3 linked regions of the Arabidopsis thaliana genome follow. The protein of the gene in region 2 interacts with the protein of the main gene of each other region in a pairwise test. Each region holds a gene or a part of one and is shown on either strand. Other genes may lie near its edges.

The links.
Region 1: the proteins of CAK1AT (region 2) and AT4G16444 interact in a protein complementation assay, tested with the Arabidopsis thaliana proteins (one large-scale study listed by BioGRID).
Region 3: the proteins of CAK1AT (region 2) and AT2G21237 interact in a protein complementation assay, tested with the Arabidopsis thaliana proteins (one large-scale study listed by BioGRID).

The regions. Positions count from the first base shown.
Region 1 is NC_003075.7:9,273,895-9,278,203, reverse strand, and holds AT4G16444 (tail-anchored protein insertion receptor WRB-like protein), read left to right. Parts: upstream 1-1,756; 5' UTR 1,757-1,945; intron 1,946-2,105; 5' UTR 2,106-2,147; coding exon 2,148-2,258; intron 2,259-2,333; coding exon 2,334-2,413; intron 2,414-2,536; coding exon 2,537-2,607; intron 2,608-2,898; coding exon 2,899-2,969; intron 2,970-3,053; coding exon 3,054-3,135; intron 3,136-3,218; coding exon 3,219-3,268; intron 3,269-3,341; coding exon 3,342-3,413; 3' UTR 3,414-3,766; downstream 3,767-4,309.
Region 2 is NC_003075.7:14,286,336-14,291,413, reverse strand, and holds CAK1AT (CDK-activating kinase 1AT), read right to left. Parts: upstream 3,018-5,078; 5' UTR 2,944-3,017; coding exon 2,443-2,943; intron 2,251-2,442; coding exon 1,312-2,250; 3' UTR 1,298-1,311; exon of another isoform or gene 976-1,297; 3' UTR 501-975; downstream 1-500. Other genes in the region: AT4G28990 (RNA-binding protein-like protein), read right to left, coding at 20-209. UniProt on the Arabidopsis thaliana protein: CDK-activating kinase that modulates CDKD-2 and CDKD-3 activities by phosphorylation of the T-loop. Activates CDKD-2 C-terminal domain (CTD) kinase activity. Activates CDKA-1 probably by phosphorylation.
Region 3 is NC_003071.7:9,099,993-9,103,150, forward strand, and holds AT2G21237 (uncharacterized protein), read right to left. Parts: upstream 1,224-3,158; 5' UTR 1,193-1,223; coding exon 692-1,192; 3' UTR 544-691; downstream 1-543. Other genes in the region: BPC4 (basic pentacysteine 4), read right to left, coding at 1,523-2,344, 2,429-2,497.

The DNA of each region.
Region 1 (4,309 bases), 5.0 Mb from region 2:
TTGCAAGGACATGCCTAACCATAATATATAAAAGAGTAATCTAATCAAAGATCATATTCGTATGTTGTTATATTCAAGAAAACTTGCATGAGGTTTTAAATATTCCTTGGAAAAAAAGTGAATATGAGAAAAGGGAGTGACAAAAGGGTTTAGGAGAGATTTTGGTGGCTTGGGAGATGGTGAATTGGAGCCACTTCTTTGTCTCTACGTCAAATCTTCTCAGTGGAATTTAAAGTTATATTATTGGCATTCAATTAAAAATGAAACACACATTAAAGAAGAGTGTCAAAAGTTGTTAATGGTTTCTATAAATTAGTTGATCCACTTTTAAGTTTTAACTTCTTATGATTTGGCAAGGAGGAAAAAGTATATAAAAAGTGGGCCTATCTATTGATAAAAAGACAAATGGAGTTCAATAGACTAGGGAATAATGATATCAACATATATGTATGAGATGTGTTTTGATTGATAAATAATTGTGAAAAAGACCACTCATTTTTACACAAGACATTCTCTCTCGATCTCCTCGTTTTCTCTCGATCAAAATGCTACTCTACGCTCCCTTCCCATAATGAAAACATCCATGCATGTACATTATCATATTTTTACTAATTTAGGGATCGAAAAGATTAATTTATAAAAAAGTAGAATACTATATACGTATCAATTAATATATGTGTTCAATGCAAAGCCGATGCAAACTTATATATTTCCTATCGTGATAATCTTATATAATAGATATTAGTTGTGTTTGATATATATAATAATTGCAGTACATATAATTCTTAACACCCATATAATGTAAAATTTTCTGATACAATTCTAAACCACATGTGTGCATTTTGAGTTTCACTTCATAGTCGGATTCTGCAAACTCCCCACATTAATTGGTCCACAAGGTACAAAACTTATCTCACATATATTCACCAATATATACAAATGTCAAATGCCTTTATAATGTATCACTCTTGATTGTTGATATTAGATAAGAATGTTGATATCATTACAAATGAAATGATATATTAGATTAAATTGGTAAATTTATTGTTACACCTCTAACAACGAAAAAAAGTGAGACAGTATAGCTACAAAACGGAGCGGGTTGAAAGAAAGAGGAAGTGGACAATGGGGATACAAAGTTTGAAAGGCACATCAAAAGTGGTGGGAGCAAAAGTTTGTCGTCAAGTAATTGGAATATAATGGCATGCATACACGAAAGCTGAAGATGCTACGACGTTTAGGATTTGGACTTACATTGTTTTTCTTCCTTTTTTCAGCTTCGGTATCTGCGATGTTATCGATAATGCTCTGATTTGGTGATAACCCCAATTAGATAGATGATTAACATAATTAAGTGGGATCGGATGAGACAAAACATATAGTGTCTTTAGATTAGTTGAGAAAGATTAGAGACAACGCGTGCCATTTCTGGTAAAACCATTACAACCACTCCACGTAAAAAGAATACATTATGTTTGTTAAATTTTCACATTTCTAATTTCTTACCCTCCATTTTGTAGTTTTACTACATCTCTACTATTTATATCTATTTTTATCCTATTCATTCTAAATTTGGATACTTTTACTGTTGACTGAAACTTGTAGCCTAGTTGTTGTTTCTTTTCACATGTACTCATGTATACCCAAGCTTAATGAAATTTTAAAGAAAATAAACAAGCGGTTTAGTTTTAATTTAATGGGCCGTTTCTTTATTTCAACGAAGCCCAATAGAGCCTGTTGAAAAAGGGTTTAGTTATTGTTGTTTACACATAAGGGCTTGAGTTTTATTTATTTCACGAAACGAGTAGAAACTTTTGTTTTATCAAAATCAGAACCCTCCTCTTTTACAGATTCAGGCCAATTCTAAATTCCCATCGTTCGTTCAATTTCAGACGTTAACCTCGGCTTGAAGGCTTCAAATTTCTGTGAATCCACGACGGAGATTGTAAGTTCCGATCATACTCACGACGATCTCATTCTATATGCACTAGAATCTTTTCCTCCTCCATTGATTAGATGATATGTTTATCCAGAACATGATGGATTCAATTAAGGCTTTTATTTTGTTGATCTGAATGGTACTGAGTTATGAATTGTTCGAGCAGATTGGTGAATTACGTTAGAATCAGTAATCAGCAAAAGGGTTAATGGAAGGAGAGAAGCTTATAGAAGATCGCGGCTTTTTGGCTGCTCCTCTGACCTTCGTCGTCGTCGTTGTCTTCCAATTGCTATCCAAGTGGCTTGACCAATTGAAGAAGGTAAAAAAGATAATACTTTTTGGCTTTTTTTCATATCCACATGAATCATCGTTTTGAATTATGGAATTTCTTCAGAAAGGGTCGAAGAACACGAGGGAATCAGAGCTGCGAACCGAAATTAAGCAGCTTTTGAGAGAGGCTAGTGCATTGTCTCAGTAAGCCATTTTGTTGTCACATTTTGTTTTGGTTCTAGTGATTTGAGTTAAGGAAGGTGCAGTTGTTGAAAAATATATATATGAGTGTTGTTGATTAGAGATTTATCTATTGTTTACTTGCAGGCCAGCCACATTTGCGCAAGCAGCGAAACTTAGGAGGTCAGCAGCTACTAAAGAGAAAGAACTTGCACAATGTGAGTATGCATACATTATTAGTTCTACATTGATTGCTTAGTGAGCGTAGAGTTCATGAAATTCAGAAATATGATTGATTGCTTAGTGAGTGTAGAGATCATGAAATTCAGAAATATGATTGATTGCTTTGTGAGTGTAGAGTTCATGAAATTCAGAAATATGATGCAACAGTTAGTTAGCTTTAAACATGAATACTATCTGGTAGCAGATATTCCTACTAAAGCACTGCATCATCATGGTGTAGTATTGGTGTGTGTGTGTATTTGTTAATTCTCATTTTGAAATTTTAGATCTGGAGCAGCATCACAAAGAAATCAAGCTTTCATACGATATGTATGGGAAGGGTCTGCTTGCTTCGAAGGTAGCTTAGTTTGTGTGCTCAAGCTTCTTCTTTTTTTCCGTCTAAAACTCCTTAATCGAGATGTGCTAAGAACTTTGTTTCTAGGTTGTGATATACCTAATCTTGGTATTGTGCTTCTGGAGGACTCCAATTGCCATTATCGCTAAGCAACTTGTTCAACCGTTTGGTGAGTAGTTTACTTTTACCAGGTTAAAGCTCGCTTATGGTATATAACACATAGGAAAAAAATGAATGTGGTGTGTTTCACAGGGACTTTGTTATCTTGGGGAACAGGAGGTCACATGACAGGCCATGTAATGGTAAGTTCCTTCTTCTCAATCCATTTATTTGGGCTTGTTCTTGATTGAGAGTGTTGGTTGGGTAAAAATGCAGGTCGGGATCATACCGTGGCTCATACTCTCAAACAGAGTGAGCAAATATGTGTGTAGGTTCGTGGAGTTCTAAATCGCATCCCTGAAAAGAGTGAAGATTGGATGGTTTTTGAGTTCAAAGTTGTAGCCTTTTAGGAGACACTTGTGGCAGAAATTGTGCTTCTCTTTTTGTTCCTAATCTTCCTTAACAATGTATATTTATATGACTCTTTTTCTCTGGTTGTTTGTTGGATTTTACCAATAACAAGTAGTTCGTTTTTGAGAGTTGAGCAGGTTGTTACCGTAGAAGCAGCCCCAATATTTACCCAATGTGTATATATACACCATAACAAACACATTGTCTCTATTCCTCTACGTGTTGTCAATTTTTATCTTGTAACACCGACTTTGTAAAATCAGATTCTAAAGACGCGTGTACTTATTCAACACGATGCCAATGCATGTGGTTCATTAAGATGTAGCATTATATCACCGAAAATGGAAGAGAGAAATAAAAATACTTACTATTATTAAAAGTGGGTAGCTTGGTGAAGGCACTAAAGTTTAATGGGAGAATCTTTTTAGCAATTAATTCGAGGGCATTATAATATCCACTTCCAACCACCACATTACTTAATTAAGGAAAACAATTTAAATCATAGTATCTTGTTTGGTTTGAAAGGAACGTGCACGTGTCACATCATCTACACTTGTCTTTCTAAATCAAAGAACTTGATTGGATTTGGTTAAGCCTATTAGTAAGAGTTAATAAGACAGAACCAAAGAAAAGGGTTTGGTTAGAGGGGCTAATTGGGAGATGGGAAGTGCAATAAATAAGAAGAAGGTTCATTAAATAGTTGTGTATGTGGGCATCCAAAGTCCCATCTTAATAATTTAATAATCTCCTCGGGATAGATAACAATCTTCTCTTCTTCTTCTTCTTCTTCTCTCCATTTTCCTAGAACATTAAAAGACAAATATGGAGCATTG
Region 2 (5,078 bases):
GTTTAGAAGAGATACGAACCACCATTGTCACCCTTATACCGATCCGAGCGATTAAACGAAGGCCGGTCACGAGAGACTTCTCCGGGCTCATAGTCTCCGGCGGCGTTGCGGCCGTCTTCTCTGTCGTTGCTTCCGGAGGGACGTACGACGAGACTGCTGATGTGAGGCGGGTGATGTTGCGTCGTCTGCTCTTTTTCTGTCGACCCCATTTCTCTCCGATTGTCAAAACTCACTCCTGGAATTTCTCGATGTCCGTTTCAGAGAAAAAAAACCCTAGGGGAGACTTGGCGATAGATACTGGTAACTGTTATTAATTTATCTTTTGGTCTATCAACTTTTGTCTAATTTTCAATATTGCCCCTTAAGTTTTATATTTAGTATGTTGGACTAGTATGACTGATTCATGGAGTCAAATGTATTGTGGTTCTGGTTTTCTTCTTTTTATAGTAAACAACAGTTCACATTTCTGGAAGAATCAGATTCAGTTATGATTTTTGTGTGTGCTATTTTTGTTGTTTATGATATCAGTTTTGATTATGTAATTTGGGTAACTGAAAATAATTTATCTTAGCAAAAACTGGATGACATATAGGATAGGCTTTTATTCCATGGTCTCATTATTGAAGGGTTGCTACTACACATGTTGATAACTTGATATGAAAAGTTCAAAATTGATCAAAATATAGAAACAATTAAGAAATACAGATCCTAGAAAGCAAAACTCGAGTATATATAGATTTTGTTTCATTGTTACTTCAGATGAAAAATAGGGTAAAGAATGGCCTGGGCAACAAGAAAACTAGCTCTTCAGCTAATAGCTAAAGGCTAACACCGACTTTCCAATTGTAAATGTTACCATTTTCATACGAGGGAGGCAGAGAGAGAGGAACAACACACACACACACACAACACATTTTTGACAAAGTAGGCGAATTCAGGGGAAGTCGGGATGATCAAGATGCTCAACCATGGACTCTGCCAAGGAGAGATAAACACATAAAACTGAGATCGATGAGAGAAACAAAGCGCAAAAAAAAGTTGTGAGATCAATGAGCAAACGAATTTCAAAAGTTTTTGCCGCCATTGATACCTAAACAATGTCCTAACGAAAAGTTAACAATTTTCTAAGCGGTATTCTGTAACAAGATCTTCAAACAACAAAGAGTGTTGCATCAATCAAGACCTAAAGAAACACATGTCAGGTTTTGGTATATACCCATTCTCTTTGAAGAAGAAAGAGAGAGAGAGAAGAGACTGATTTATGTGTTTAAGCGAGCCAGAGCTTTTGACTGCGTACCTTAAATGCCAAGGTCAGGGGAATTCTATTGTAAATCCACTACTGGTAGGCTTTACATTCATGGGTCCAAAGCCATCAAAATCTGAATCTGAATCCATTTCTCTGTAATCATTCCACTTTCTCGGAGAATCCTCATCTGGTCCACTCATTGTCGGAGGCACATAGAGCTCTGAAACTGGAACTGGAAGAGGCTCTTCACTTAAATATTTGTCATTCAGCATCTCCATAGTAGTAGCTCTACTAGCTGGATCATAACAGATAAGCTTCTTGAGCAGCGATATCACATCCCCTGAATGGTTGGGAAGGCATCCTTCAATACCAAGAGGAGATTCTACTTTAGCAAATGAGATTGACTTGTAGTCTGGAAGATCAACACAACCAGGCCAGACCTCTTCATTTAAATTTCCCAGCACATTGGTCACTCTGCTGATCTGATCAATATCTGAAATTCCTGGGAACAAAGGCTCAAGAGACAAGAGTTCTGCAAACACACAACCAAGCGACCATAGATCGACCTCTAACCCATACATCGTAGATCCATAGAGCAGTTCTGGTGGCCTAAACCATCGGGTTCCCACACAAGATGTCATCAAACCCTGTGTATCATCCACTGCTTCGTCAGCATCGTAAGAAAACGAGTTCCTACCGAGATCATCATCCATTTCACTAACAGTGCACGTTGCAAGGCAAGATATGTCTCCATCATGCACATTCGAGTCCTTATCAGTATCATCTCTAACAACCTGTTTAGCCTTGAGCTCTTCCACCTGTCGGAAGTACTCGTCTTTACTCATCGCTTCCCGTTCCTGACCATCAGACCCTTGCCTAGGTGAGTTCTCATAATCAGGAATAACTTCTGGTGGTTCGCTGGTTTCTCCATCTTTGTCTTCCAGTTTGTAAGCTTGTTGGTTTTCATCTGAAGCTACAATATCATGCTCCATGAGTATCCTAGCCTGTATATGAACCAAGAAGCCAACACACATTTAGAAACTCATAGATTACACTAAATGATAAGGTCTAGCCACTTGATTACACTAACTCTTCCAAATTTCAAGCAAACCAAGCATTTTTCATTCAGAGGTTTCTCATATTTGTGCATCAAACAATGAAATAACTAACACAATCAGTAACAATCATAATCTCACCTGACCAAAATCAGCAAGCTTAAGAACTCCATCATCAGAAATCAACATATTCCCAGGCTTCAAATCTCTATGTACAATCAAATTCCGATGACAAGCATCAACACCGGTTAAAATCTGAATCATCCATCTCTTAATCTCCCCAACCGAGAATCCATCCCCTCCTTCTACCTTCTTCTTCCTCTTACCATCTCGGATCACCGCAGCGAGATCCGACCTAAGAAACTCAAGCACAAGCACAGCGTTCTCTTCCTCACGCCAGAAGTATTCGTGCATAACAACTACATTAGGAGATCCATTGAGGATGGTGAGCGCGTCAATCTCCCGGAACGCAGATTGGTAATCGAAAATCTCCTTGAGCGCGACGATTAGACCGTCGGAGAGACGGCGAGCTCTGTAAACGTCGGCGTAAGCTCCGGATCCGACTCGCTCGAAGATCTCGTACTTGGCGATTATCTCCGGCCGGGTATGGATACTCCAACTGGTCGCCGGTTGTTTATCCATCTCCTTTAAAACGGCGTCGCTTTTCTTCGGATCTTTCCTGATGATGGATGATTATTCACATAAACGCTAACGAATTCACCAGTTTAAAAATCCAGTTCCCATGTTGTAATGACTAAAATGCCCTCACAAGTTTTGGAGCGGACAAGAAACCAAACCGCAGGGGGGGACTTTTATCACTTATGCCACTTTTTTGAAAAAACTGATCTGGACTGCCATAAGTTAATCTGAATGCCACCGAAAATGTGATATACCAGTTGTACCCTTAATGAGTTGATTAAAAAAATGAAAAAGAAATTCAAAAGCTAAATAAAGAAAATCGAGTTCGGAGATTCTCCTCTTCGTCGTCGTGTTCTTCTTCTTTGGTCGACGTTCATCTTCTTCGTCGGCCACCATCGATTTCCTCATGCCGCCGACTTGAAATCCGGCGTAAAAGCCACGAATTAGGTCAGTTTCTTCTCATATTTCCTTTGACATTGGTGCATTGTGATTTTAGATTGGGATTTTGAATTCTATATAATTCCCAGCTCGATTCAATTTGATAGTTTGATGATTGGTTTGCAAAGTAAAGAGTAATCGATTAGAGGTTGCCGAAACGTTATTTGAGGTGATGAGCAAAGGAATGTAGGTTGAATGTGAGTTGAATTTGAATTCCGAGATTTCATATTAAAGATTTGGGGGGTTTGTGTTTGCAAAGTTTAGATTAACCAATTAGTTTAACGAATAGGTATGTATTAACATTGGAAATCAATTGAAAGGTAACGAATTAGGTTCAGTAGAGACGAGTGCGACGAGAGATTGATTTCAACGTATGATAAGAGTACATGTGGTATAACTATTAAAATGTTTGATTGGAGTTGAACTGGTTGTATTTTCAGGAGCGATGAAGAAGAAGATCCACACTAAGGTACATTTTGACTTTGGAGGATACTATTCTGAAGTGAATGAGTGGATTGGTAAAAATTCACTATATGTTATATCGTTTAAGACGAGTAGTTTGGAGAAGATTAGCTATTCGATGTTAGTTGACAAGATCATGAAGAAGGTTGCGATTGATGAAGCTTCTGTCAAGTTGAAACTGAGTTACAATCTGTCTAAAGTTAGGAGAGAGACATATATTGTAAATGATGAGGATGTCTTCATATTTTTAACAGAATCTGATGAAGAGAGTCGGATTCCTGTTTTGCATGTGGAGGAATTAAATGGTATAGGAGTTGAGAGGAGAGAGGAAATTTCTGTACCGGAGCGTCGAAGTTCAGTTGGTGTAAATGTAATAGAGGATGATGTTTTAAATGAAGTATGTGAGATGGTGCATGATGGATATGATAATGATGTGAATGATTGTGAGAATGTAGTAGGTACGGAGATCGTGGCTATCGAAAGGCCGATGGAAAGGCCGGTGAATTCTGTTGAGGAACAAGATGAGGATGATAGGATTGATTATGATGATATTCACGATATTCCACGAAGTGTAGAAGTTACTCCGCAGGTTATAGAATGGGATGATGGTACGGGTATTGAAATTGGTCAAGAATTTTGTTCAAGGGAGGCTGTGTGGGAATTGGTTAACAGAGCTGCAAAGAAAGAAGTTTTTGGAGTCTATACTATTAAGTCAGACCCGTTGAGACTTATGCTACGATGCCGCCAAGCTTCTAAAGGGTGTACTTGGTATCTAAGAGTTGCGAGAACTAAAAAATCTCATTTTTGGAGTGTTAGAGTGCATAGAAAGATGCATACATGCTCTCGGAGTGTTGAGACTACAAGCAACAGTATACAGCGAGGCACACCAAGATTAATAGCATCGGTTTTACATTGTGATTATCCCGGAAATTTAGAGACCCCAACTCCAAAAAACATTATGTCGATTGTAAGAGGAAGACTTGGGGTGCATTGTTCATACTCCACTGCCTTAAGAGGCAAAATGCTACATGTTAGTGATGTGCGAGGGACTCCGGAAAGAAGCTACACGATGTTATTTTCTTATCTTTACATGTTAGAGAAGGTAAATCCAGGGACAGTAACTTATGTGGAGTTGGAAGGAGAGAAAAAGTTCAAGTACCTCTTCATTGCATTAGGCGCTTGCATTGAAGGTTTTAGGGCAATGCGGAAAGTGATAGTTGTGGATGCAACTCATCTTA
Region 3 (3,158 bases), on a different chromosome or scaffold from region 2:
AAGTAATTTATCTTAGACCAATTATGTAGCGACAAATGTACATTAGTAGATTTACTTCCTTGTTTTTTTGGGGCCACCTTTCGGCCACTTGATAAGTAAAATTTCTTTCTATTTGGGCCAAAGTAACTTCTTATTGTAGAACCGGTAACGAAATTGACTCAAACAACCCATGAGACTCACACATATTATTCCTCGCTGAACTGACACGTGGCATTATTTCAAAGAAGTAGAGATTTTTACCTTGAATGTAAAGATTTTTTATTTTAGTTTTTCCAAAACTCTACTTTATAGCAATTCAAAATTTTGCAAAAAATACTTTCCCTAAAAAACAGAGGATCTAGTATTTTACTTGGGTTGTTACAAAATTTCAAAGAAAAACCAAAACCCATTGTAAGACTTTTTCATCTTTTGCTTTTAACTAACAATATATAGTACATCAATATATATATATATATATATATATATATATATATATATATATATATATATTGAACTCAGCTCATAAGAGGGGAAAAAAGAAAGAAAGATGTAATTCGAATTTTTGAAGATCATTGGTCGTTGGATTATTGGAAAAGATAAAATGCTGAATAACAAACATATCACAAAAGAGATTATTAGATTCTTGAATCGATCTGATAGCTAACCACATCAAAGTTATTTTTTTGAATGAACCACACTAAGTTTTAATTTGCTAACGAGTTCGACATGATCTTACTTCGCCGTGAGACGGGAATGACACTGCGCGTTTTATCCTCGGCATCTTCTTGTCATCCGGAGCAACCACAACGGCTAAACTTTGGCAGCTGTTTTTCACCGTTTCTTCAGTTCGTTTAGTCGTCTCGGTACTCTGATTCTGCACCACACACGGTTCTTTGCTTGGAGTTGAATCCACAATCTGATCTGAGCCGCGCCTGACGAGAATATGAAGACCGATCAAGATGACAAGAGGAAGACACATCAAGAACAATGCATAGTAGATGATCCACCCGAATCCCGTGTGACTCTTTCCGTGACAGATCCACTCAATGACTAAAGCCATTCCTGAGGTGAATGTAGTCAAGCTGCTTAGGACAAAAACTTTGACAATCCCCGGATTCGGAATTTGCAAGAAGGCTCTTGCGGCGCCAAGAAACCATATCTCTTGTGACCGTTGATGCGTCTCCACATGCGCCACTGTGGCTTTCTCCATCATTTTGTTGTTGTTTATGCTTACTTTGTGTTTTATTTTTTGTTCTCTCCTCTCGGTATAAAAAGAAACTAACAAGTGAAAGAAAAAAGGGGTAACAGATTTTGCTATCAAAGGGGTAACAGATTTTGATTTTTAACTGTTACGATTTTATTTTATTTTTTGAGGTCAAAACACAGATTTTTTATGCAAACCATTTTTGCCCATCCAAAAGATACACATAACAATGGTTTTACCATACACAACAAAGAACAAACTATGGACAATAAAGACAAAGACAACACCTAATCTTAAGAAGACGAGAGAAACATACTTGGACTGTGTAAACAACAGAGGCTACTTGATAGTGATGTAGCGGTTTGTCCCGTGCCTAGCCCAATAGTCTTTAAGATCAACAGGACACGAGAGATCATATCCTTCTGCTGATAAACGGCTGAGTAATCTCGAGAAAACGTTTCCGCTCATTTTCCTACCGCCCATCCGAGAATGCCTCTTGTTTGGCATCTGCGGTAATGGATACTGGGATAAGGTGGTTGTGCAGCAAGACGATTGCCAGCCGCCATTTCCCCATTTGTAACACTGACGCGTAGAGCCTGTGCACGAACACATGGGTACAGGCATTGTCGTCTCATCGAAGGTGACTAAGTTCAAACCGACATCTTGACTGTCCCAATCTGTTCTAGATTTCTTTCCAGGAGCAGGAACTCGACGGTTCAGATCTTCACCCACTTTTTTCACCTTTGATAGTCCCTGCTTGTTCTCTTTCTTCCTTTTGTTCACCACCTTCGTGTTTGTAACCTCAGGCGGAATAGTTGACAAAGGGAAGACTTCAAGTTTGTGGGGTTCCCCAATACCAAAACAATCATCTCCATCAACACACTTCCCACCAGACAAAGCAAAGTTGAGACTATTTTCATGGTGTTGAAGAGCAGCATAAGCATTATCTCTCTCTATCAAAGCTTTATCTCTCTCAGAAAGAGCTTTGTCACGTTGCTGAAGCGCTTCGTCCCGAGCAGCGACAGCTTCCTTTTTAGCAGAGACAGCTTGATTTCTTTCATGTACAGCAGCGTCTCTCTCAGCAAGGATGGACATGATCTTCTTATTCATCACCAACGCATTATGTTGTTCCTTAATCTGATGCTGGGGAATCATATTCCACTGTAACAAACATTCTTTGCTTATATAACTTCAATCACACTAACAAAAACATATCTTTAGGAAACCAAAAATCTTAAGTCTTACCATAGATTGTGCACCTTTGAAGTAATCGGGCTTGAACCGCGCATTATCATACTGACCACCATTCTCCATAACTCTTATAATCTTCAAACAGTGAAACACCGAACCAATCAAGCTTCTCCTCCAAACACACTCAGCAACAGTGAAACCAAATTTCAAACATTGTGATTCGATCTATGAAAACAATTGAAGAGTAAGAATTACAAGCAGATATTAGCACACTGAACTCGCAATTCACTATCTTCAAACAAAATCAAAACTTCTCGAATTGATCTGCCAGTTAGGGTTCCGCAATTGATTCAGATACCAAAATCAATCTGAGCTAGTCAGAGAAACAGGTCTTAAGGAACAATTTTACGAAAATTGGAATAAATTAGGTCAAGATCAAAAAGGTCGAATCAATCTAAACCTTCCATGACAAGAGATTATTCCGCGAAACAATAGAAAACAAGGGTGAAACTGAAATTATAAACCCTAGAGATACAACACATTCAAAATTGATTAACAAATAAATTAAAGAGAGGAAAAGGCGCGAAAGCTTACGAATTCGATGAGCTTCTGGAAAAAATCTGGGCAAAATGGATAATTGATCGAGAAGAAAGATCCAAAGGGTAGAGAGAGAGAGAGATAGTGTCTCTGTCCGCGAAGAAGCTCAATGTACTTACTTCGTCATTTACCAAATTACCCTCTTCTCTACTACTAAACAAGAGAAATCAAGGGTATACTCGTCTTT